4 linked regions of the Macaca fascicularis genome follow. The protein of the gene in region 1 purifies or fractionates together with the protein of each later gene. This does not show direct contact. Links are inferred from orthologs where the notes say so. Each region holds a gene or a part of one and is shown in the gene's direction. Other genes may lie near its edges.

Region 1 (6,246 bases):
AGGTAAGGGATAAAACACTACAAATATGGTGCAATATATAATGCTCAAGTGATGGATGCACCAAAATTTCACAAATCATCATTAAAGAACTTACTCATGTAACCAAATACCACCTGTACCCCAATAACTTATGGAAAAACAAAAAATATTATAACCAAAAAAATTAAATTTTGAAGGTCTTTTCTTTCTAGCTCAAAAGTTTTTATTTCAAGTATTTTCTCACTGAAGAATTCTAAGTAAATGTTTCTTAAAGATGCCATTACTACCAAGATTTAGAGTATGACCTATAAGTTAAAACATAGCCACAAAGATTAAACATTGTGATTACAAAGTATTAGACATTGTATAACATGAAACAATAAGAGAGGTAAGGAAGATAACGTATTTTTATAATACAAATAAAAGCAATGAAAAAAGCATAAAGAGCAGAAACACATATTCTGTTGTCTGTTAATAAAATTTGTTTTCATTATTTGGTTGGGACTATGGTGAACATTTTAATCCACCTATGTTGATAAAACCTAAACTTAAATATTAATTCAGTCAGAATTAGAAGGGCTTTTTGTGTTGATAAAAAAATCTTATAACTACTTGAAATTATTTTAAATTTTAAGCTGCAAAATCAAAATATGATGAAAACAAGTTATAAGTGAAACAGAATTGCCTGCTCTCTGTAATGATCCAACAGGAAGCTAAAATGGGTCTCAAAAGGCAAGGTTTGATTTGAAATACAGATAAAATCCAACTACAGTGAACTGTAATACCTATACAGATTCCTCACTGGATAAAGAATCATATTGCATCACATTTTTCTCAAGCTAAACACTATATACTGGGCCTTCAGAATATTTTTCTGATATTTTCATGGAGTTCTTTGCAATGAAACCTATTAAACAAAAGGGTTAGCAATTACTACTTGTTGCTATTTAACACATAATTTGTTCCTAATAATTTTCATTTTGTTGTGGCAGGAACAAATTTAATAGATTGATGCCTCCAATTATTTGCTTCTGCTCTGTAGTCAAAGCCAAACAAAGATGTTTCCTTATAACAAAACATCTATTCAAGAAAAAAAGAGTCTGATTATTGTTCTGGGATGCTGGCTTTTGGTTCTTTGTAGAATGAGGAATTCTTCTTTCCTTATTGTTATTGTTTTAGATAATGCTGTGGTTTTATAACATAAAGAGAGAAAGCCACTAGGCTCTCTCATGCTGCTATTATCTTGTTCTATAAGCTTATATAAAGACAGAAATGAAGCAAGACTGATTTCTTCACAGGTAACTTTAGTGAAAGAGCTCTGATCCCTCAGTTTATCTATTCATTACAGTTATTTGCAAGTGCATTAAGTCTGTATGGCTTCTATGACTCTTTGTCAGTATGCCTCTGGTCAGTTTGTAATTATTAAAATATGAAACTCATTTATCGGAAGTTCAGTACTAAGATTAAAGTCCAATACTAGAAATGCATATTGGAATATAATCCTTAATATTTCAGCTGAGGCTCTTATTTCCTCCTATTACTATTATGCTCTGTTTTCCAATACATTCTGTCCTCAGATATTAAATCCCTTCTTGTTCAAAGGGAAAAATAGAATCGATAAACTGGAATCTCAATAGCCTTTTTGTATTGCTTTTAAATGGATAGTTATAAATGGGATTATCCATTATGATTATGTATTATTAAAGCATTTATAATTCCCATAGTGTTTTTATGAGAATTTTAAGTTTTATTTATGTATTTACATATAGAATAATGCCGGACTTGAAGATTTTGAAAGGAAAAAAACCCTTGGAACAGGTTCATTTGGAAGAGTCATGTTGGTAAAACACAAAGCTACTGAACAGTATTATGCCATGAAGATCTTAGATAAGCAGAAGGTGAGTGTATTTGTTGTTATTTACTTTCAGGGTAAACTTTAGTTTTATCAGCCAGACTATTAAACAGATTCAGTATAATGACTTACCATTGACACCTTCAAATAATTATATTATTAAATTTAATTTTTATTCCTATTTTTTGTAACTATATGATGCATAGTTAATATACATTCAGCCTTTCCATATCCATGGGTTCCACATCCATGGATTTAACCAATCACAGATTGAAGATATTTGGGAAAAAAATTACATCTATACCTAACATGTACAGACTTTTGTTTCTTGTTATTTTTCCGTAAACAATACAGTGTAACAACCCTTTACATAGAATTTAAAATATATCAGGTATTATAAGTAATCTAGAGATGATTTAAAGTATCTGGAGAGTGTGTATAGGTTTTATGCAAAGCCTCTGTCATTTTATATAAGGGATTTGAGCACCTGGGCATTTTGGTTTCTGCTGTAGGTCCTGGAACCAACCCCCAGGGATACTGATGGACAACTGTAATTTATTGTGACAATTATGGACTAATTTGTTTTCTAACTATTACAGAAGTTAAAATGTGTACAGTAGTGACCAAACCACTTCATGTTACAGATTTTGAAAACCTGAAGCCCAAAGATTTGAAAGCATCTCCAGAGTCAGAAAGTTAGTTAAATAGAAGGCCTAGATTAAAACACAGATTGACTCCTACTCAATTTTTTTGCTCAGTATTATCAGTATACTCCTAATTTTATATATTAATACCTGGCTGCTATCTTTAATTACTTTTCTTATTTATGTTTAACTTCTTGACATCTGTGACTGTCCTCACATTGACCATTAGACTCTGGCAAGAAAGTATGCCACCTTCTAATGATTTACACATATAAAAGAAAATTATTTATATGTCTTGCTAAGGTCACCACTTTTAAAATTCAAAATAGAATCACATATGGAATAGAATTACAATCTTCGTGAAGTCAAGATAAATTACTTTCCCCTTCTATTGAATAGAAAATCTAGAGGAAGCCTAAGTCTGAATGACCTAGGATACAAAGATAGTTTTTGTTAAAAAGGTAGTTTTTTCCCCAATATTTTGTGCATCCTCTTCTATAGCGATATAAAATAAACTTTTAGAATTTATACCTATATTTATTTAGATATTATAAAATGAAAATTGTTCATTTTTACTCACTATTTTTCAATTATGGGCTTTCTCTTCATTCTTAATTTTCTTATTCATCTTCTGAAGTATTTAAAGTCAGTATCTAGTTATTGCAGAGATTTGAGCCAGCTTTTACAGAGGACTTTGAGTGATTAGGACGTTAGTATTTTCACATTAATTTTTAAATTACTTTAAGTAATTATATAGATATATGTTTATTTAAGTATAATTGACATAACTAATTTTTAAAGTAATTTCTTATGGGTTTGTTTCTTATTCCTACTTAGCTCTCACTTCTTAATTGAAACTGTAGTTGATCTTCCTAAGACCAAGTTTTAAATCCTCTCTTAGGTTTTTATTTGAATCCTGTTATTAAAAGTAATGGCAAAAACCACAATTACTTAAGCACCAACCTAATAGTTGGTAATTGTTATTCTCTTCCTTATCCAATTCTAACAATTTTCCTTATCCAAGTTTATTACATTTTTTAAGTGATAACTTTTTGATTTTGCTTAAATACATAAAAGAAATATTTATCTCTCAATTACAGGTTGTTAAACTGAAGCAAATAGAGCATACTTTGAATGAGAAAAGAATATTACAGGCAGTGAATTTTCCTTTCCTTGTTCGACTGGAGTATGCTTTTAAGGTAAATTTTAGTAATATCTAAATAAGATACTTTCAACCTAATATGCTTTTTTTAAGATGAAACTATAAATAGGATTCTAAACCAGATGATAAACCTAAAAAATATAAATAAACAAAACAAATACCTCTCGAGTTTGTGTAATTAAATCCTATTGTGCTTATAACTTAGGTAACATTTGAAAAGGTTTTGATTCTCCCTGGAGAAATTGTTCAAAGGTGATACATGCAATTCTTCATGAGATGGTATTACAAAAAGAATTACTCCAATTTATCAAAAACCATAGGGATATCTTATTAAACAATTCTTATGCAAATTCATATACCCAACACATTTTCTACTTTTATTAAGCCCTTTTTGCCAGTATCTCATCTTCTTTTACTTAGTAATTTGAGTTCTAGTCTTTTTACTTATACAAAGCTGAATAATTTTTGTTCCATTATTTAAGTGTCTGAAAAATTGTATAAGAGTTATTATTTAAATTGGCCACTTTTCAGCTCTTCGGAATGATACTGGCATCTTTCTGCAATATTTAATCATATGAAACATTTTAATCTTTTTTCTCCTTTATTCTTTAAATTAAATTAAGACCTATGTATTTAAAATATTAAAACCATTAATCTTTTATACATAAAGTGTAAATATTCTTACTTTTTCAAATTGTTTTTTAACTTTGTTATTCTTTTGCATATATTATAGCATTATTTCTTTGCCTGAGTGTTTAATTGTTCAAGAACTAGATGTTCTCTGCAAGAAAAGGAAGAGCAAAAGTCCCAGACTAATTTGTGGCAAAAATAACTAGGAGGGGAAAAATATGAGTGTCTCTGTATAGAAAAACTAGAGCATGTTCCATTTATTCTTTATTTCTCAAAGTTATTAATCTGTCAGAAAGATGTTAAATTTTTCTAATTCAACATGGTATAATATTGAAATAATTTTGACCTAAGTTGAATAATTGTATTTCCTTTTTATTTGTTCATAGGATAATTCTAATTTATACATGGTTATGGAATATGTGCCTGGGGGTGAAATGTTTTCACATCTAAGAAGAATTGGAAGGTTCAGGTAACTAATGCTTTTGTCTTCTTCAAATCTTTATAGGCTTGTGTTGTTTAACCAGATTTTTAAGTTGATGCCAATATCAAAAACTTATTTTGTTTGATTAATATTTTGGCCATTTGAAGCATTAGGTGGAAACAAAGAGGCCACATCATACACAAGTTTTAAAATTCAAATAAAAGGACTTCGAAGCCAATTTAAATGTTATACTATTGGTAGATATTGTGAGGGTCCACTACTTGAATAGTTTTCAGAAAATGCAAAAATTAATTGAATTTTAAAATATCAACATTTATTAAACAAATATTAATACAACTCTAGGACAGAGGATTGTTTTAAGGATGAAGATGGAAAATAAATATATAGAGAAATAATAATAATGGTATTATGGTAATAAGATTATAAAAGTTTGTTTTTCACAAATTTAATTCTCCTTAAAGTTCTTGCAAAGTTTAGTTTTTAAAATACATACATAATTTAACAGGAGTTTGTACCTCATCAGGTTATGACTAATAAGATCTCACAGTTATTAAAATAGGTTATAGAATCTGATAGTTTTGCCTGTACGTAATAGTTTGTAAGCTTCTACTATTCATTAATAATCACTAATAGAATAAAGCTAAAATAAAAAACAGATACAACTTCATTCAGTATAGTATGTTGAAGTCAAAAATGTAGAGACAAATCTCTAAATTCAACATTTTATTGAGGAAGCAAGAATTGCAGTTTGAGGCATATACACAGACTAGGTGGTCTTCAATGTGTCTACAAAACAAAGAAAAGGTTGGAGGTTTTATAAAAATAAATTTTATATTTATTTGTTTGGAAACAAAGTTTACTAGCACTAGTTAAGTTTTGGGGAGCTGGCAAGCTCTGATTGGTGAGTGACGGTGGGGGGTCAAACTCGGCTAAGAATTGCAGTAGATTGTCTCAGTAGCTGTTAGAGAAAACTGGTTTCAGGTTACAATGGGCAGTTTCAGCAGCTAGGCTTGTGGAAAATTTAATTCTTTTTTTTTTTTTTTTTCTGAGACAGTCTCCCTCTGTTGCCCAGGCTGGAGTACAGTGGTGCCATTTTGACTTACTGCAACCTTTGCCTCCTGGGTTCCAGTGATTCTCTTACCACAGTCACCCGAGTAGCTGGAACTAGAGGTGCCCGCCACCACATCCGGCTAATTTTCATATTTTTGATAGAGACAGGGTTTCACCATGTTGGCCAGGCTGGTCTTGAACTCCTGATCTCAAGTGATCCACCCTCCTTGGCCTCCCAAAGTGCTGGGATTACAGGTGTGAGCTACCACACCTGGCCTTAATTCTTGGAGCAGGTGTTGTGTGCCCTGAGTGCTTTATTCCCCTGGCCCCTCAACTCTGATTTATTTGGGTATGATGAGAATGACTAATTTGTGTAATCAGCTTTCACATTTTTCCCTTTTGATCAAGATCTTTCTCTGAAAGCATTGCTTATCAACCATCTTGAAGTTAGGCTTAATTATTCCTTGGTTCTGGGATGGACTTGTTC
Region 2 (6,246 bases), on another chromosome or scaffold:
TCACTGACCCCACGAGGGTACAGATGCTCCTCAGCTTACAATGGAGTTACATCCTGGTAGACCCATTATAAGCTGAAAATAGCATAAATCAAAAATAAACACATCTAATGCACCTAACCTACTGAACACCATAGTTTAGCCTAGCCTACTTTACACGAGCTGAGAACACTCACAGTAGTCTACAGTTGGGCAAAATCACCTAGCAGCACGATCCACTCTGGATGCCCGATGTTCACCCTTGTGATAGAGTGGATGACTGGGAGCTAGCATCGTGAGAGAGTAGCGCATCACATATCGCTAGTCCAGGAAAAGATCAGAATCCAAAATTGGAAGTATAGTTTCCATTGAATGGGTATTGCTTTCACACCATTGTAAAGTTGAAAAATTCTAAGTTGAGCCTTGGAAGATCAGGGACCGCCTGTACTTGAGTCCTCCAAGTCTGACCTGGCCCTTCATGCTGCAGTTTGCTGTGTTGGTCCCTCACCCTGGAGCATCTCCTTAGCCATTTGAAATTTTATTCCTCCTTCATTCTCAGCATCTCTAATTGCTGAGTAATGAAGTGCCATTTCATGGACTCATTTTGTGGGGAGATGTGAGGAACCCATGTACATGTGGATTCCATGGGGGTTTGAAATGCTCCGATGCCACTTGATAGATAAAAATGTTCTGTGAGTTTAGAGAGCTGAGCCACACTGAGCAGAGCCAGCCCCTTTGGGGAACATAGGGAGACTTTGGCATCATGAAGTGATGGAGGGAGGAATTTGGGTTAAAGAACAGAATGCTTGGTTTGTTTCAAGAGGGTGTGTGAGTTGGGGAGCATGGAGGGGAAGATGCCTCTTCCTGGCCTCCGACCCCCAGTGGATCACACAGAGGGTGGACTGGTACAAGCTGAGAGTGTGCTCCTCTTGGAGGGCAGGGAAGGTGGGGGAGATGGCTTCGGCCCTACCCTGTTGACTGTCTTGCATGTGCAGTTGCCAGTATCTTCCTACCTGGCTCTGTGACATTCTTCCTCCCCACTCTCCTGCTCTCCCCAGGTGTAATTACTTCAAGCCTGCAGGATGGCAATCCAGTTCCGTTCGCTCTTCCCCTTGGCATTGCCTGGGATGCTGGCACTTCTCGGCTGGTGGTGGTTTTTCTCTCGTAAAAAAGGCCACGTCAGCAGCCATGATGAGCAGGTGGAGGCTGGTGCTGTGCAGCTGAGGGCTGACTCTGCCATCAAAGAACCTCTTCCCATGGAAGACGTCTGTCCCGAAGTGGTGTCCATGCCCCCCAGCGTCACAGAGCCGCCAGAAAAGGAACTGTCCACCATGAGCAAGCTGCCTGCAGAGCCACCAGCATTGCTCCGGGCACACCCACCTCGCCGAAGATCAGAGTCCTCGGGCAGTCTTCCTAATACCATAGACATGAGATTGCGACCAGGAACATGCAGAGACAACAGTGCAAAGCTGGAGCTAGCCCTGACAGGTGGTGAAACCAAATTGATTCCTCTAGAGTGCCCCCTTTCATCTCCAAAGGGTGTACTATTCCCCCACAAATCAGCTGAGGTGTGTAAGCAAGAGTCCCCGTTCAGTAGGGTGCCAGGAAGGGGCCAGCCAGGCTACCCTGCAGCGCCCCCAGAGAAGCATGGCTCTGGGGAGAGGGCAAGAGAGACAGGTGGGGCCGAAGGGACCGGTGATGCTGTGTTGGGGGAAAAGGTGCTTGAAGAAGATCTATTGTCTCAGGAGCATGTCTTGGAATTGGAGAACAGCAAGGCCCCCAACCTAGCCTCTTTAGAAGGGGAAGAAGAGAAGGGGAAGAGCAGCTCATCCCAGGTGGGGCCGGTGCAGGAGGAAGAGTATGTAGCAGAGAAGTTGCCAAGTAGGTTCATCAAGTCGGCTCACACAGAGCTGCCAAAGGACGATGCGGCACCAGCACCCCCAATCACAGATGCCAAAGCCCAGGACAGAGATGTCGAGGGAGAACTGGGCAATGAGGAGAGCTTGGATAGAAATGAGGAGAACTTGGATAGAAATGAGGAGAGCTTGGATAGAAATGAGGAGGGTCTGGATAGAAATGAGGAGGGCTTGGATAGAAATGGGGAGGGCTTGGATAGAAATGAGGAGATTGAGCAGGCTGCCTTCCAGATAATCTCCCAAGTGATCTCGGAAGCAACCGAACAGGTGCTGGCCACCGCGGTGGGCAAGGTTACAGGTTGTGTGTATCAGGCCAGTCAGCTCCAAGGGCAGGAGGAAGAGAGCTGTGTCCCAGTTCACCAGCAAACTGTCTTGGGCTCCGACACTGGGGAACCTGCCACAGCAGAGGCAGCTGCTGCCCTGTCGGATGCTGCCCTCCCCTCGCCAGGCCTACCAGCAGAGGGCTCAGCACCACCAAAGACCTACGTGAGCTGCCTGAACAGCCCTCTGTCCAGCCCCATCAAGGACAGTAAACCAAAGATCTCTGCACACCACATCTCCTTGACCCCCTGCCTGCCACCGACCACTCCTGGTGAAGAGTCGCCGGACCGGGCGGGCATCCTGGTGGAAGATGCCACATGTGTCACTTGCATGTCAGACAGCAGCCAAAGTGTCCCTTTGGTGGCTTCCCCAGGACACTGCTCGGATTCTCTCAGCACTTCAGGGCTTGAAGACTCTTGCACAGAGACCAGCTCAAGCCCTAGAGACAAGGCCATCACGCCGCCACTGCCAGAAAGTACTGTGCCCTTCAGCAATGGGGTACTGAAGGGGGAGTTGTCAGACTTGGGGGCTGAGGATGGATGGACCATGGATGTGGAAGCAGATCATTCAGGAGGTAGGAGGGTCTCGGGTTCATTTAGAGGATGGGGCGCTCCCAGTATTTCTTGGAGAAAGGCCGCCAGTCTGCCTCTCCCTTCTGCTACTTGTGCAGCAAAGTCATGGTGCCCTTCAGCTCTTTGTCCCAACCTGCAGAGAGCTGGACACGGCATAAAGCTGGTGGGTAACTGAGCAGTTAGATTGCCCTGAAACCCCAAGCCTTGGGAGCTGTCACTTGGTTCCTCAGCCGGTGACCTTCCCCAGTGAGCCCTTCCCAAGGAACCAGCTCCAAGTTGGGCTCACTGATTAACATTAGTGTGCCTTTTTTTCTTTTTTTAAAAAAATTATTATTTGGGTGCAGATGGAGTCTTCCTGTGTTGCCCAGGCTGGTCTCGCACTCCTGGGCTCAAGTGATCCTTCCGCCCTCGGCCTCCCAGAGGGCTAGGATTATAGGTGTGAGCCACCATGCCCAGCCCATTTTTTTCTTTTTTAAACACTAACCTCTGTGTGTGTGTGTGTGTGTGTGTGTGTGTGTGTGTGTGTGTGTGTTTTAATGGAGAGGTCTCCTTAGCTTTCCCTCCCTTGAGTGCCAAGTATGGGTGTGAGTGTTTTGAATGGTTTATTTCCTTTTAATCATGTGCTTGTTCCCATGTCTTCACCTGCTTTCCTTCTCCAGAAGCTCTTACAGGGTAAGTGCCCAAAGAATGGCCACAGCTTTAAATACTTGTGGGAGGCTCGAGCTTCCTGAGTTGTCGCTGTCACCTTTGCAGAGAGCCTCAGCCATTTTCTTTCTGTGCAGTTGCAGCTCCACCCCGGGAAAGCGGGGCACTTTGATAACGAGGTGTCCTGGGTTTTTCGAGTGCTGACCCCAGCGTAGACAGTTCAGACCGCTAACTTACAGGTCAGCAGCTCCTGACCCTGCTTCTGCAGCCGCCCCGGGGTGTTTTCATTTATCTCATGGAGAGAGGCCACGAGTATCCCAGTGCCTCTCTGACGTTTGTCCTGGAGCCATTCCCTCCCATTTCAGCTCCAGGAAGGTTGGGAATCTTGATCGGGAATTTTACTACTTTCGGCAGCATCTCGTTTGTACCACACACTACGTTTTGTCACCTCCAAGATGCTGTTGCGACACTACTGTTTTTATGTACCTTGGAAGGACAAAAGTGCTGCCAGTCATGATTATAGAAGGCCAGATACTATATGATGCATCCTAATCTCTGGATGTTTAAATGTTTCTTAAAATATTGCATCTTAAAATGGGTGTTTTTTGTTTTATTTATTTTTTAAGAATAAAGGAGTTTCCCTTTGCTTACTGCCCCTCGGCTGAATTAACAAGCCCCACAGCCTTGTCTGCCTACTCTAGATGGATAGTAGTAGCTACTCAGACCTGTTGAGTTTAGGCTTGAACCTAAGCCATGGTGATGGGCAGGGAGGTTTAGAGATGGCGGGTGGAAATGAGGTAATACTGTCCACGAGCATGCAGTGGGTGCCAAGCACCAGGGTAGTGCCTCGCATGCACCCTCATGTCAGCTCTGCTTTGTGTGTGAGAAAGTTGAAGCTGAGAGGGGTCCAGGGACCACCCTACTGAGGGAGCTGGCAGCTGGCCTTGGAGTGCAGCCTGCTAGAGTCCTGGTGTGGTTCTGAGCCACTGCTGGGCGCCATCGAGATGGCAGGTGTTAGCCAGTCCCATTCTGTGGGACAGAGGCTGGGGGCTGTGAGTGAGCAGAGCTCCCCGCCCCCTTCCCCAACCCCTGTCAGCCTGTTATGCTTCCCTAGCCAAGCAGTCTTCCCCTAGAAGGGGTACTTTTCCCTGCATGAATCCTGTTCCAAGCGCCTAGGTTAAGGGGGGATGTCACTTTGAAGGTGATTCTTCCTTAGCTGGGAGCAGGATCTCTTGGGCCTTAGTTCTCTGCATCCAGTGTATGGGTTACTTGGCAAAGGATTATGCCCAGGGTTTGGAGAAACCATGTGGAAGGTAACCTAGTTGGTAGACTCTCAGGAGTGATCTCTTTCTGGTGATTGAGTCATCCATATTTAAGCCAGGGCCACTTCTCTTGAGCTGATCTGGACCCTCTTTTTTGTGACAGTCCCTTTGGCACACTCTTGAGCGAGAGTGAAACAGCCCAGGTCGGGAGCAGAGTCCTTTTCCCATTGGGTTTTCTTGGCCATGAGCTTTGGCTCCGTCTTTTGACCAAGGGAGTATTTGAGCCAGAAGAGTGTTCAGAGTTGCACGAATCAGGCCTAAGCAAAGGGAAAGGAGACTCTCCTTTTTTTGTCCACATATGGCAGAGGAACGAGCAGGTCCCCGCTGGGTATAAGAATGGGGCCCTCAGGCAGGCCAATGAGGACTTTGTCTAGCTCTGCTTGGCTGAAGGCCTGTACCTGTGACCCTGGAACTGGGCCCTGGGGACAGGAGACCGACCCTTGGACTGAGAGGGTAGGATAGTTGGAAGGGTGTCAAGGTGTTTGCAGTCCATCGGTCTGGCTCTCAGGACCATGTGGACCTCAATCATGTCTCCTCCTCTGCCCTGTGGGCTCCCCTTCCCTGGGCGCAGTCTGTCCCTTCCCAGTTCACCACTTGTGTGTCTGCTCCAGCAGCTGTGGCTGGGTGCGGCTCCCAATTAAGCAAGTGGGACTGTAAGTGGCAGGCTAAAATTAGGTGTATCGACACCCCCAGTCCTCCTTTCATTGGGGTTGTTCTGAGCCTTCTAGACTGTAAGTTGACAGTCACCTGCCAAGCTTGAGGAGCGGGTGTGGGGCAGGGCCTCCCGGGAATGTGAGTTTGGGAAGTTCTGGGTTACTGGCTGCTCTGAGCTGGGGTCTGTGTGTGCGCGCGCCTGCTGCTTCCTCCCCTGCAGGTTCTGACAGGAACAGCATGGATTCCGTGGATAGCTGTTGCAGTCTCAAGAAGACTGAGAGCTTCCAAAATGCCCAGGCAGGCTCCAACCCTAAGAAGGTCGACCTCATCATCTGGGAGATCGAGGTGCCAAAGGTAGGGGTGGAGTCCCCCAGGCTGGTTCCATGGTAACCCGCAAAGCTCCCTGGGGCCAGGGCCGTTAGACCTGGGGGAGGGAGCTGGGAGAGGGACAGTAAACCAGAAGGAGCCCTGGGTCAGCCAAAGGCTGCGGGGAGAGGACACACTACACTTTGCCAAGGCTCAGAGAGCTTCCTGCAACATGGAATTCCTCTGGCTGCTTCCAGGAGCATCTTATTCTTGTACTTCTCAAACTTGCAGGCCTGTGTGTCTCTCCCTTGGGGGTGGTTCTTGCATATTCTGGGGCTGAGATCTATTTGGAAAAAAAACACTGAGGCCGTGGAGGCCAGCCAGAATCCCTTCACTGAGCTCTGCTCAAGTGCTCCAACGTAAAGTGTATTTTATAATTGAGCAAAGCATAAATCCATATTTTAGAGAACTTGAAAAGTATAGAAATATATGCAGAAAATAAAAATCAGCTCTAATCCTACCCTTGAGAGTGAC
Region 3 (6,246 bases), on another chromosome or scaffold:
TGAAGCTTTATCAAATGCCTTAAAAGATTTACAGTATGTAAAGAAGCAGATATTCACAAACACAGTTGCTAGATTTGCTGCAGATCTTGCTGAAGAGCTTGTTTTTGAAGGCATCATGGAAGTGTGTCAGTTTTCGTATCCTCAAACGCCTGCATCTCCACGGTGTGGGTCATTTCACTTTGAGGACGAAGTAGTGAAGTCATATGCAAAAGATTTGTCTGAATCTGTAATACAGGAAGCGTTCATTGAGCTATCACAAGTTGATGTGACCTTTACAACAAAGGCAGCAGTTAGTGTCTCTACGGATAATATCAAGTATGTGAGTGCAGAAAGTGTAGTGCCATCAACACAGGCTGTCACGTTTTCCCCTTCTTTTCACAATCAAGCAATTATGGTGACAAAACCAGTGCAGGAATATAAAAAGGAATACACAGTGCAGCAGGCCTTGTTTTGTACTTCTGGAATTGTTACTTCTATACCAGTGCCCTTGGCAGGAAGTGCCCTTCTCCCATATCATATTTCATCTACTGCATGTCAGGCAAAGGCTCATCTGTCATCTGATGATAGTAATTCAAGTGGTGATTCTACCCAAGTGCATATTGCCACAAAAAACAGAGAAGAAAAAGCAGCTTGTCTCAGAAATATTTGTTTACCTTCAGAACACAATCCAGGTAACGAGAATGATTTTAAACCAACTAATGATCTTGAAATGCAGAGTTCCTCAAAATTACCAAGTGATCCTGCAATTATTAGCAACTTTTCTGCAGCAATGGTGCATACGATAGTAAATGAAACTTTAGAGTCAATGACATCATTGGAAGTTACAAAAATGGTTGATGAATGTACAGATTATTTAACTAAATCAATAAAGGGGAAAACCCCTCCCTTTTCCCACTGTGGTCAGGCAGTGCTGCAATGCAGTGAAGCTAGTAGCAATAAGGACATGTTTGCTGACCAGTTACCTAAATCTATTATTAAACATTCCATAGATAAGAGCAAATCAATGATCCCAAATATAGATAAAAATGCAGTATACAAGGAAAGCTTGCCTGTTTCTGGAGAAGAATCACAGTTGACACCAGAAAAGTCTCCCAAATTTCCTGGCTCTCACTGCTCACTTTCAGCTGGAAAGGATTGTGTTCCAGAATGTAAAGTTTCTATGGTTCATGGATCCTCCCTAGAGACACTACCATCTTGTCCAGCTGTGACAGGTCAGAAATCTGACTTGAAGGAACCTGCTAAGGATCAACCACTGAAAAAGCATAACTTGAATAATACATCACTTGAGTCTTTGTCTTTTGGACAGGAAAACCCCTTTCCTCATTCACATACTTTCTCATCTACAGCACTTACCTGTGTAGATGGTTTGCACGTGGAAGATAAACAGAAAGTCAGAGACGGAAATGTAATACCTGATACTCCTCCATCAACTCCTCTAGTACCATCCCAGGCTAGTTCTGAATGGGATATCAAGAAATTAACAAAAAAGCTCAAAGGAGAATTAGCCAAAGAGTTTGCACCTGCTACACCACCTTCTACTCCACACAACTCATCTGTTGGTAGTTTGTCTGAGAATGAACAAAATAGTATAGAAAAAGAAGAGTTCATGTTGAAACTCATGCGATCTCTTTCTGAAGAAGTTGAGAGTAGTGAAAATGGAGAGCTCCCTGAAGTGGATGTGAAGTCAGAGCACTCAGGGAAGAAGGTTCAGTTTGCAGAAGCATTAGCTACACACATCCTTTCTCTTGCAACTGAAATGGCAGCTTCCCATTTAGATAATAAAATAATTCAAGAACCCAAGGTTAAAAGCCCTTGCTTAAATGTGCAAAGTCAAAGAAGTGTGTCACCTACTTTCTTAAACCCCTCAGATGAAAATTTGAAAACATTGTGCAGTTTTGCAGGTGATCTGGCAGCAGAAGTCATTACAGAAGCTGAGAAAATAGCAAAAGTTCGAAGTTGTATGCTTTTCAAGCAAAAGAAGAACAGATGTTATGCTGATGGTGATCAAGATTATAAAGTAGAAGAGAAGTTGGATATAGAGGCTGTAGCGCACCCAAGAGAAGTGGATCCGTTTATTCTTTCATTACCACCAAGTTCTTGTATGTCAGGTCTGACGTATAAGTATCCCAGCTGTGAAAGTGTGACAGACGAATATGCAGGTCACATTATTCAGATACTAAAACAAGAAGGTGGTAATATTGAGTTGATAATGGATCAGTATGCCAATAGACTTGCCTACCGATCTGTTAAATCAGGATTACAGGAAGCAGCTAAGACAACCAAAGTGCAGTGCAATTCAAGAATGTTCCCTGTGCCAAGTTCACAAGTGAAAACAAACGAACTGTTAATGTTTTCAAATAAAGAGCACCACCAAGAAGCAGACAAAAAAAGACAAAGTAAAAGAAATGAAGATTACTTTTGTAAAAATCAAACTTGCGAAAGGACCCTGGATCCATGTAGAAATGAGTGCTCTGAACTGTATAGTTTTTCAGCCTCTTTCGTTCACAGCATAACAAAAGATGCTAAAGAAGAGCTGACAGCCTCTCTAGTTGGCCTACCAAAATCCTCAACAGATTCTTGCTTGTTCGAAAAATCCGGATGTGAAGGAGATAAAGAGTGTCATGTTAAACCAGAATTGCCTAAGTCTCTTCAGCCTTCCTCGCAAAGTCACAGATTTTACCACAGCACTGGCAGTTTAAATGGATATGGTTGTGGAGACAATATTGTTCAAGCTGTAGAAGAGTATGCCAAAAAAGTAGTGGATGACACTCTAGAGCTAACTCTAGGATCTACAGTGTTACGAGTGTCTGAGACCACAAAATCAGCAGACAGGGTCACTTATGCAGAAAAGTTGTCACCTCTTACAGGTCAAGCTTGCAGATATTGTGACCTTAAAGAACTCCACAATTGCACTGGAAATTCATCTCAGAACTTTTTCAGACAGGGTTCTCTCGCCAGTAGTAAGCTAGCTTCTAATCCAAAATTTAGCAGCCACTATCAGAAATCTAGGATTTTTCATCTCAATGTCCCTCAGATTCATGTTAATCTTGATAAGAAGGCAGTGCTTGCTGAGAAGATAGTTGCTGAAGCCATTGAAAAAGCTGAGCAAGAGGTGAGCAGTGTCAGCCTGGCAGCCGACAGTGGGATCGGACAGGAGGGTGCCAGCTTTGCTGAAAGCCTTGCCACAGAAATCATGACAGCAGCTGTCACAAATGTTGGGCATGTTGTTAACAGGTAAGTTTCATATTTCCTTTGGTTGTTAATGATAAATGAAAAAGTTAAATGTGATCCTATATGTCTTAGGTCCTGCTCATAAAGGAATGATTATTTTTAACCCTACATAAACAAAAATTTTCCCTATTGCATTTATGTATTGTTTCACATCCTACACATGACTTTTATATATTTTGGTCCCCTGATCCCTTTTGAGGGAAGGTGTTATCCATTTACAGAGCTGGAAAATGAGAGTTGGAGAAAATAATCACCTTATCCAAGTTCATAGAGCTATGAAGTAGGTAAAGTTGAATTAAATAAATAGCTAGAGAATTTTATATAGTAGTCCCCCCTTATTCTCAATTTTGCTTTCCTCAATCTGAAAATATTAAATGGAAAATTCCAGAAATGAACGATTCATAAGTTTTAAGTTGCATGTTCTGAGTAGCATGATGAAATCTCACACCGTCTCGGGATGTGAATGACCCCTTTGTCCAGTTTATCCACACTGCATGTGCTGTTCACCTGTTAGTCACTTAGAAGGTATCTCAGTTATCAGATCCACAAACCTGGTATGTACAGGGCTTGATGCTATCTACAGTTTCAGACGTCCACTGGGTGTCTTAGATCATATCCCCCAGGGATAAGGGGGGACTATCCTATAGTAAATGTAGAATATTACCATATTAATTTACTATTCTGAGACTAAATTTTTGTATACCTTTCTTCATTCACAAGGGTAAGTTTTCTTATAAAGACCATGGTTTAATCAAACTGCTCTGAGGAAGAAAGCGAAAATTCTTTACATACTTATACCATTTCTCTTGATTAGTTCACAATCTAAGGGGACAGTTCTTTCTGGTAGTCCTACAGTGTCCTGTTTTCAGTAGTTATCTCTTGTGCTTAGTGATTCTTTTTTTTTTTTTTTTTTGAGATGGAGTCTCACACTGGTTGCCCAGGCTGGAGTGTAGTGGCACAATCTCAGCTCACTGCAACCTTTGCCTCCCAGGTTCAAGCGATTCTTGTGCCTCAGCCTCCCTAGTAGCTGAGATTACAGTCACCCACCACCACCACGCCCAGCTCATTTTTATATTTTTAGTAGAGACAGGGTTTCACCAAGTTGGCCAGGCTGGTCTCGAACTCCTGACCTCAGGTGATCTGCCCACTTCAGCTTCCCAAAGTGCTGGGATCACAGGCGTGAGCCACTGTTCCCAGCCATGCTCAGTGATTCTTTAATAACAACTTAGAGTTTTTCACTTTAAACCTTCTTTGTCCCTGAGAAGATATCAGGACCAACTTGTGTTATTAGTTGATAGGATGATATTTGTAAGTCCTGCTGGAAAGAGAAAATGCTTTAAGTTGAGGTGGAATTTAATTGAGTCACATGATATTCCAGATTTTTGAGTAGCTTCTGTCAAAGCCATGACATGATCTGCCTCTTTTCTTATCCATCTTAAAATAGGGAGATCCAGCTTGACCAGGATTCTTGAATCCAGTTGCTTCATAGCATCTACTTGAGATGAGAGATGCTGTAGGTTTCTGGTGAATTAGGAGAGGTCTCTATTTGCCCTAATCAGGCAGCCTTCTTTCTTTTTTTTTTTTTTTTTTTTTTTTTTTGAGACGGAGTCTCGCTCTGTCGCCCAGGCTGGAGTGCAGTGGCCGGATCTCAGCTCACTGCAAGCTCCGCCTCCCGGGTTTACGCCATTCTCCTGCCTCAGCCTCCCGAGTAGCTGGGACTACAGACGCCCACCACCTCGCCCGGCTAGTTTTTTGTATTTTTAGTAGAGACGGGGTTTCACCATATTAGCCAGGATGGTCTCGATCTCCTGACCTCGTGATCCGCCCGTCTCGGCCTCCCAAAGTGCTGGGATTACAGGCTTGAGCCACCGCGCCCGGCCTGGGCAGCCTTCTTTCTACTAGACCAGGGGTTGGCAAACTACAGTCTGTGGGCCAAATGTGGCCTACTGGTGGTTTTTGTATGGATTGCAAGCTACGAACAGATTTCATGTTTTTTTTTTTTTAAATGGTTGAAAAAAAATCAAATGATATTTTGTGACGTGGAAATTATATGAAATTCAAATTTCAGTATTTATAAATAAAGTTTTATTGGGACACAACCATGCTCATTCAATTACATATTTCTGTGGCTGCCTTTGTGCTATAATGGCAGAGTAGAGTAGTTGGGACAGAGGCTGTATGACCAGCAGTACCTATGTACTTCCTATCTGACCTGTATTAGTTCATTTTCACACTGCTATAAAGATACTCCCTGGGACTGAGTAATTTATAAACAAAGGAGGTTTAATTGACTCACAGTTCTGCATGACTGGGAAAACCTCGGGAGACTTACAGTCATGGCACAAGGCAAAGGGGAAGCAAGTACCTTCTTCACAAGGCAGCAGGAGAGAGAGGGGGGAGCTGCCAGACACTTAAAACCATCAGCTCTCATGAGAATTCCCTCACGGTCATGACAACAGCATGGAGGAGGCTGCCCTCCTGATCCAATCACCTCCCACCAGGTCCCTCCCTGGGGGTTACAATTTGAGATGCGATTTGCGTGGGGACACAGAGCCAAACCATATCATGCCCCTTATAGAAAACAGTTGTGAACCTCTGTCCTAGATCCACATTTTCTTGTTCACTACATACCAGTTCCTAGTATGATGATAAACATAATAAATGGTTAATAAATATTCTCATGAATAGGTAATAAGGCCTTTTAACAATTGAAATAATTTTCCTCTTACAGGTTGCTTCAGGCTATTTTACTTTTTACTTCTCAGTCCAGTCCTGTCTGCCCTATGGCCCCATCCCCCTTTCCTCCCAGCCTCCCGGGAGGAAAAGAGACTGTCCTCTGAAGTTTTTCAGACATCACTCTCAGGGGCTAGCAAATGCCTTTCTCATTGGTTTTCTCAGTAATTTCCACTTTTCCTTCTTAGAGTTGGGTGAGTAGATAGGCCCCTAAAGTTCTTCCTTGTAAGCTAGTGCTGCCCACTTTCAGCTTTTTATTAAGGCTGGAATAATTCTTTTCCT
Region 4 (5,487 bases), on another chromosome or scaffold:
TGTATTTTTTAGTAGAGACGGGGTTTCACCGTGTTAGCCAGGATGGTCTCGATCTCCTGACCTTGTGATCCGCCCGTCTCAGCCTCCCAAAGTGCTGGGATTACAGGCTTGAGCCACCGTGCCCGGCTTAAAGAATTTCAAAAGCTTGGTTTTCAAATAACAAGAACTCAGACTACTCTTGGTTCAATTATGAGTTGATAAGTACCTTGTGATTAAATGACCATTAATCAATTTTTAAATTTTTTTACTAATGAATATACTGCAGATTAGTATCCCCAAACAATCCATTTTCTGATGAAACTCTTAAAGCCCAGTTTCAGAACATAAGCTTTAAGCAACAAGCAATCTTTTGTTTAATCTGAGCTCTGTTACAGCTCTGCCTTAATCTCAGCCAAATTGCTTCATCTGTAGATGGTGATACCACCATCTTTGTAATACTGTGGTGAGGATTACAGATGTATGTAAAAGTGTGTGCACCGCCTAATACCCAAGAATTGCTCAATAAATGTCAGCTATTGTTACTCTTACTGACCTCCAACTATGTGCAGATTATGGTGGAAACATGTGATACAGCAAATACAGTACTTAAATGAAAATGTCAAAATTATACAACTAATTTAAGAGTGGGAAATGACAGTAATGCTAAATTTTCCTAAGAATATGTATGAAAAGTAGCACTTCCTTGATGGAACATACATTTTTAGAACAGAAACCTTATGTTATAATGGAAAAACTAGAGAGTCAAAGTCTCTAGTTCTAACTCTGGCTATGACCTTATCTAGCTGCATGGCTTTTAACAAGACAATTGCTCCCCTCTGGAGTTCAGTTTTGTCATCTGGCTGGATTTGAGTAATCTCAAATAATCTCTAAAGTCCTTTGCAGCTTTAAAATTATTTATTGAGTGTGATAAAAAATACATTAGCTTGTTTTTCATCCTGCACTTCATTTTTTGTTCTTCCTGTTATTTGCTTAATTTGCACTTTAGAGCCATAAGCAATTCACACAGACAACACAACTAAAGAACTAATAATATCAGACTTGCAGGGTAATCCAAAATGAAGTTTCAACAAAGAGGATAAAACAATAGAATCACATTGAACTCTTTAATAGGGCCAAAGTAAACCCCAACGTTTATTCTCCAGTCATTTCATTATTATATGGAAAATATGCCTGGTAGAATCTTATACATTCAGCTGAAATAGTCTCCATAGAAAATAATAGGCTCATAGTGAAATAAAATACCACTTTCTTTTCTCTCATCAGGTTGATCTTTAAATAAAGCAAAAATTTATTCAAGAAAGGGCTTTCATCAAGAAATTAAAGAGAGAAATTACAAGCAATAGAGAAACTGGGCATTTCTATACTAGAGAAACCACCTAAAACAACTGTATGGAGTAAGATGAAAGGTAAGAATATGCCTGGATGAAATTTTACCTAGTGTGACATTTTTGCCCATCTTTTTGTCACAAAAGGCTGCTAAGGAAGAGAGAATATAGTTTTCTAGAGAATAAGAGTACAGTGTAAAAATGGAAACCACAGTTTCAGAAATTCATGTAGAAAACAAGGATGAGAAGAGATCAGCAGAAGGTAGTCCTGGGGCTGAAAGACAGAAGGAAAAGGCATCCATGCTTTGCTTCAAGAGAAGAAAGAAAGCAGCTAAAGCACTGAAGCCCAAAGTTGGCTCTGAAGCTGCTGATGTGGCAAGGAAGTGTCCCCAAGAAGCAGGAGCTTCTGATCAGCCAGAGCCCCCACAGGGGGCCTGGGCCTCACTCAAACGTCTTGTAACACGCAGGAAAAGGTCAGAGTCTTCAAAGCAGCAAAAGTTATTGGAGGCTGAAGTGCAACCTGCAATAAACACTGAGGATGCTGATCTTTCTAAGAAAAAGGCAAAATCTAGACTTAAGATTCCCTGCATAAAATTCCCAAGAGGGCCAAAAAGGAGTAATCATTCCAAAATTATAGAAGACTCAGACTGCAGCATCAAAGTCCAGGAAGAAGCTGAAATTTTGGATATACAAACACAGACCCCATTGAATGATCAGGCAACAAAGGCTAAGTCAACCCAGGATCTAAGTGAAGGCATCTCACGGAAAGATGGTGATGAAGTCTGTGAATCAAATGTGAGCAATAGCATAACTTCTGGAGAGAAAGTGATTTCAGTAGAACTTGGATTAGATGATGGGCATTCTGCTATTCAAACGGGAACTCTAATCCTTGAAGAAATTGAAACGGTCAAGGAAAAACAAGATGTTCAACCCCAGCAAGCAGGCCCACTTGAAACTTCAGAAACAGACCATCAGCAAATAGTACTTTCTGATGTTCCACCTTTACCTGCAATCCCAGCTCAACAAATTATGGAAGAAGCCAGTAACAATATCCTAAAAAGTGCACCAAATGGGAAAGACTATGAAAGTAGAGAGATTGTAGCTGAAGAAACTAAGCCAAAAGATACTGAATTGAGCCAAGAATCAGATTTTAAAGAAAATGGGATCACTGAAGAGAAGTCCAAATTAGAAGAAAGCAAACGAATAGAGCCCATTGCTATTATTATTACAGACACTGAAATCAGTGAATTTGATGTTAAGAAATCAAAAAATGTCCCTAAGCAATTCTTAATTTCAACTGAAAATGAGCAAGTAGGGGTTTTTGCTAATGATAATGGTTTTGAGGATAGAACTTCAGAACAATATGAAACACTCTTAATTGAAACAGCCTCTTCTCTTGTCAAGAATGCTATTCAGTTGTCAGTAGAACAGCTGGTTAATGAAATGGCCTCTGATGATAATAAAATAAACAATCTTCTACAGTGACTTACTCTCCAGAGTCATGGCAGGAAAAACAAGCTTAATGAAGAATTATTTTATACATTTGTGGCATTTCTTACTCAGTAACAAATGAGAGATTTATCATCTCTAGAACTTAAAAGGTACAATTCCAGCGCAGAAGTGCTAAAGATTAAGTCAAGTTTATAAAACTCTACCACTGAAATGCAGTCACTTCTGGATTGGAGGAAGTCAGCACAGATTGCAGTATAAAGTGACATAACATACAGGGAGTTGCTAAAACGGCATATGGAGATTGGAGTGCTTTGGGGGAGGAAGATGTATTTATTGAGCACTTATGGTATGCCATAAGCTTTTTAATGACCTCTGATATAACAAAGTCTGGTTTCCTTTTGATAATTCAGCTGTGTATAGGCTAACATCACATTGAGTTTTTAAAAACTTATTTTTACAGTGCACATATATGTTGTTTAAAATGGTGAATAAGGTGAGCTACTTTTGTGAATGTGATTTGTAATTGTTACATTCCTAAGCAGTAGGCTTAACTCAAAAAATACATTGCATTTTCCCAATTTCAGCAGATAGTGTGCAGAATACGCATATTGAAATTAAACGTGAGTGGTTTTCTAGTCTTAAGTCCCTTATAAGAGCTATTTGGCCGGGTGTGGTGGCTCACACCTATAATCCCAGCACTTTGGAGGCCAAGGAGGGTGGATCAGCTAAGATCAGGAGTTTGAGACCAGCCTGGCCAATGTGGTGAAACCCCGTCTCTACTGAAAATACAAAAATTAGCTGGGCGTGGTGGCGTGCGCCTGTAATCCCAGCTACTTGGGAGGCTGAGGCAGGGGAATTGCTTGAACCCGAAAGGTGGAGGTTGCAGTGAGCCAAAATTGCACCACTGCACTCCAGTCTGGGCACCAGAGCAAGACTCCATCTCAAAAAAGAAAAAAAAAAAAAGGAGAACCATTCACAAATCCTTCAATCAGGCAAACTGTTACTAAGTGCAAAAGTGTAGAAACAAGGAGTGGGTTTTCCCTCTCTTCTTTCTGCCTCAACAGATCTGTATATATCCATTTCTGCATGGATTTATCTGTGAAAAGTTAAAAAACGAAACAGCAAAAACAAAACAAGTGGAATATTATTCTTCATCCAGAAGAAGGGAAAATTCCCAATTAAATTATCATAGATAATATAGGATTCATCTTGCAGAATTACTTCTTTAAGAGCCATATTCATCAACCTCTCTCCAAAGAGGCGAGAGTAGATTCAAAGCCAGGCTGGTAGTAATGGTCCTGGAAAATCCTAATAATCTAGTGCAAATATTATTTATTTTTGGCCAAAAATGAGCCATGAATGTGGGTGAATAGAAAGTGAAAAGTTAAAGCACATTATAATTTAAATGTCAATATTACTTCCTGTCTGTGTGTTGAGAGAAACCAGTAAAAATCATTTTACATGGATATTGACAATTAACTTTTTCATCACTATTTTCCTTTCTTTTCTTTTTTTGAGACGGCGTCTTGCTGTCACCCAGGCTGGAGTGCAGTGGCGCGATCTCGGCTCACTGCAAGCTCCACCTTCTGGGTTCATGACATTCTCCTGCCTCAGCCTCCCAAGTAGCTGGGACTACAGGCGCCTACTACCACGCTAGGCTAATTTTTTGTATTTTTAGTAGAGACGGGGTTTCACCCTGTTAACCAGGATGGTCTCGATCTCCTGACCTCGTGATCCTCCCGCCTCGGCCTCCCAAAGTGCTGGGATTACAGGCGTGAGCCACTGCACCCGGCCTTCATCACTATTTTCAATCCAGATATACTTTACAAAAATGAGAAAGGCTTATTTGCATTTTTATTTACATATTGAAAGGGAAGCATCTGATCTCATCAATGATTGCCATATTTTTTGAAAAAGTAATCCTATTTCAATCTTTCCTTGTGTGAAATGGCCATAATACCACAATGCACTTCCCTACCTCACAGGTTAGGATTCAAAGTGTGTATTCCCCCATTGTGTAAATTGAGTGATTATGTTACTACTTGAAACAGATGAAGTAATAAAGATGAAGTACGAGATGTAAGGTATTTGTTCAAGAGCTCCATGTGGAGGAAAGAATGCAAATTAGATGATTTTAAATGATCTGGGTGAATTCTTGCATTGTGTATGGATTGCATATAGAAAGTATTTGCAGGCCGGGCGCGGTGGCTCAAGCCTGTAATCCCAGCACTTTGGGAGGCCGAGGCGGGTGGATCACGAGGTCAGGAGATCGAGACTATCCTGGCTAACATGGTGAAACCCCGTCTCTACTAAAAATACAAAAAACTAGCCGGGCGTGGTGGCGGGCGCCTGTAGTCTCAGCTACTTGGGAGGCTGAGGCGGGAGAATGGCGTGAACCCGGGAGGCGGAGCTTGCAGTGAGCCGAGATCAGGCCACTGCACTCCAGCCTGGGAGACACAGCGAGACTCCGTCTCAAAAAAAAAAAAAAAAAAAAGAAAGTATTTGCTATTTTGTCCTACAGAATCAGCTTCGTTTCTTTCTGTAAATACATATTGAGACCTCTATCAAAAGAAATTAATCTGACTTTGAAATTGAACCAAATCATGGATATTATTAGCAAGATTCTTTGCTGAAGTGCAAAAATATTTCCCCCAGATTTTCCTACCTTCACGCTTATAATCTTGGGGGGGTGGAATCCTTCAATTTAGCA

Evidence for each region.
Region 2: the proteins of PRKACB (region 1) and AKAP1 purify together in Homo sapiens (affinity purification with mass spectrometry; 4 studies listed by BioGRID and IntAct, counting the BioPlex papers as one, with this or other methods). This does not show direct contact. The link is inferred for Macaca fascicularis from reciprocal best matches to the Homo sapiens genes PRKACB and AKAP1.
Region 3: the proteins of PRKACB (region 1) and AKAP11 purify together in Homo sapiens (affinity purification with mass spectrometry; 5 studies listed by BioGRID and IntAct, counting the BioPlex papers as one, with this or other methods). This does not show direct contact. The link is inferred for Macaca fascicularis from reciprocal best matches to the Homo sapiens genes PRKACB and AKAP11.
Region 4: the proteins of PRKACB (region 1) and AKAP5 purify together in Homo sapiens (affinity purification with mass spectrometry; 4 studies listed by BioGRID and IntAct, counting the BioPlex papers as one, with this or other methods). This does not show direct contact. The link is inferred for Macaca fascicularis from reciprocal best matches to the Homo sapiens genes PRKACB and AKAP5.

Annotation. Positions count from the first base shown.
Region 1 is NC_088375.1:150,452,877-150,459,122, reverse strand, and holds part of PRKACB (cAMP-dependent protein kinase catalytic subunit beta), read left to right. Parts: intron 1-1,174; exon of another isoform or gene 1,175-1,208; coding exon of another isoform or gene 1,209-1,277; intron 1,278-1,748; coding exon 1,749-1,877; intron 1,878-3,575; coding exon 3,576-3,674; intron 3,675-4,653; coding exon 4,654-4,736; intron 4,737-6,246. UniProt on the Homo sapiens protein: Mediates cAMP-dependent signaling triggered by receptor binding to GPCRs.
Region 2 is NC_088390.1:49,609,108-49,615,353, reverse strand, and holds part of AKAP1 (A-kinase anchor protein 1, mitochondrial), read left to right. Parts: intron 1-1,034; 5' UTR 1,035-1,058; coding exon 1,059-2,787; intron 2,788-3,567; exon of another isoform or gene 3,568-3,669; intron 3,670-5,626; coding exon 5,627-5,760; intron 5,761-6,246.
Region 3 is NC_088391.1:21,592,130-21,598,375, forward strand, and holds part of AKAP11 (A-kinase anchor protein 11), read left to right. Parts: coding exon 1-3,234; intron 3,235-6,246. UniProt on the Homo sapiens protein: Binds to type II regulatory subunits of protein kinase A and anchors/targets them.
Region 4 is NC_088381.1:132,283,744-132,289,230, forward strand, and holds the end of AKAP5 (A-kinase anchor protein 5), read left to right. Parts: intron 1-1,263; 5' UTR 1,264-1,526; coding exon 1,527-2,810; 3' UTR 2,811-3,571; downstream 3,572-5,487. UniProt on the Homo sapiens protein: Multivalent scaffold protein that anchors the cAMP-dependent protein kinase/PKA to cytoskeletal and/or organelle-associated proteins, targeting the signal carried by cAMP to specific intracellular effectors.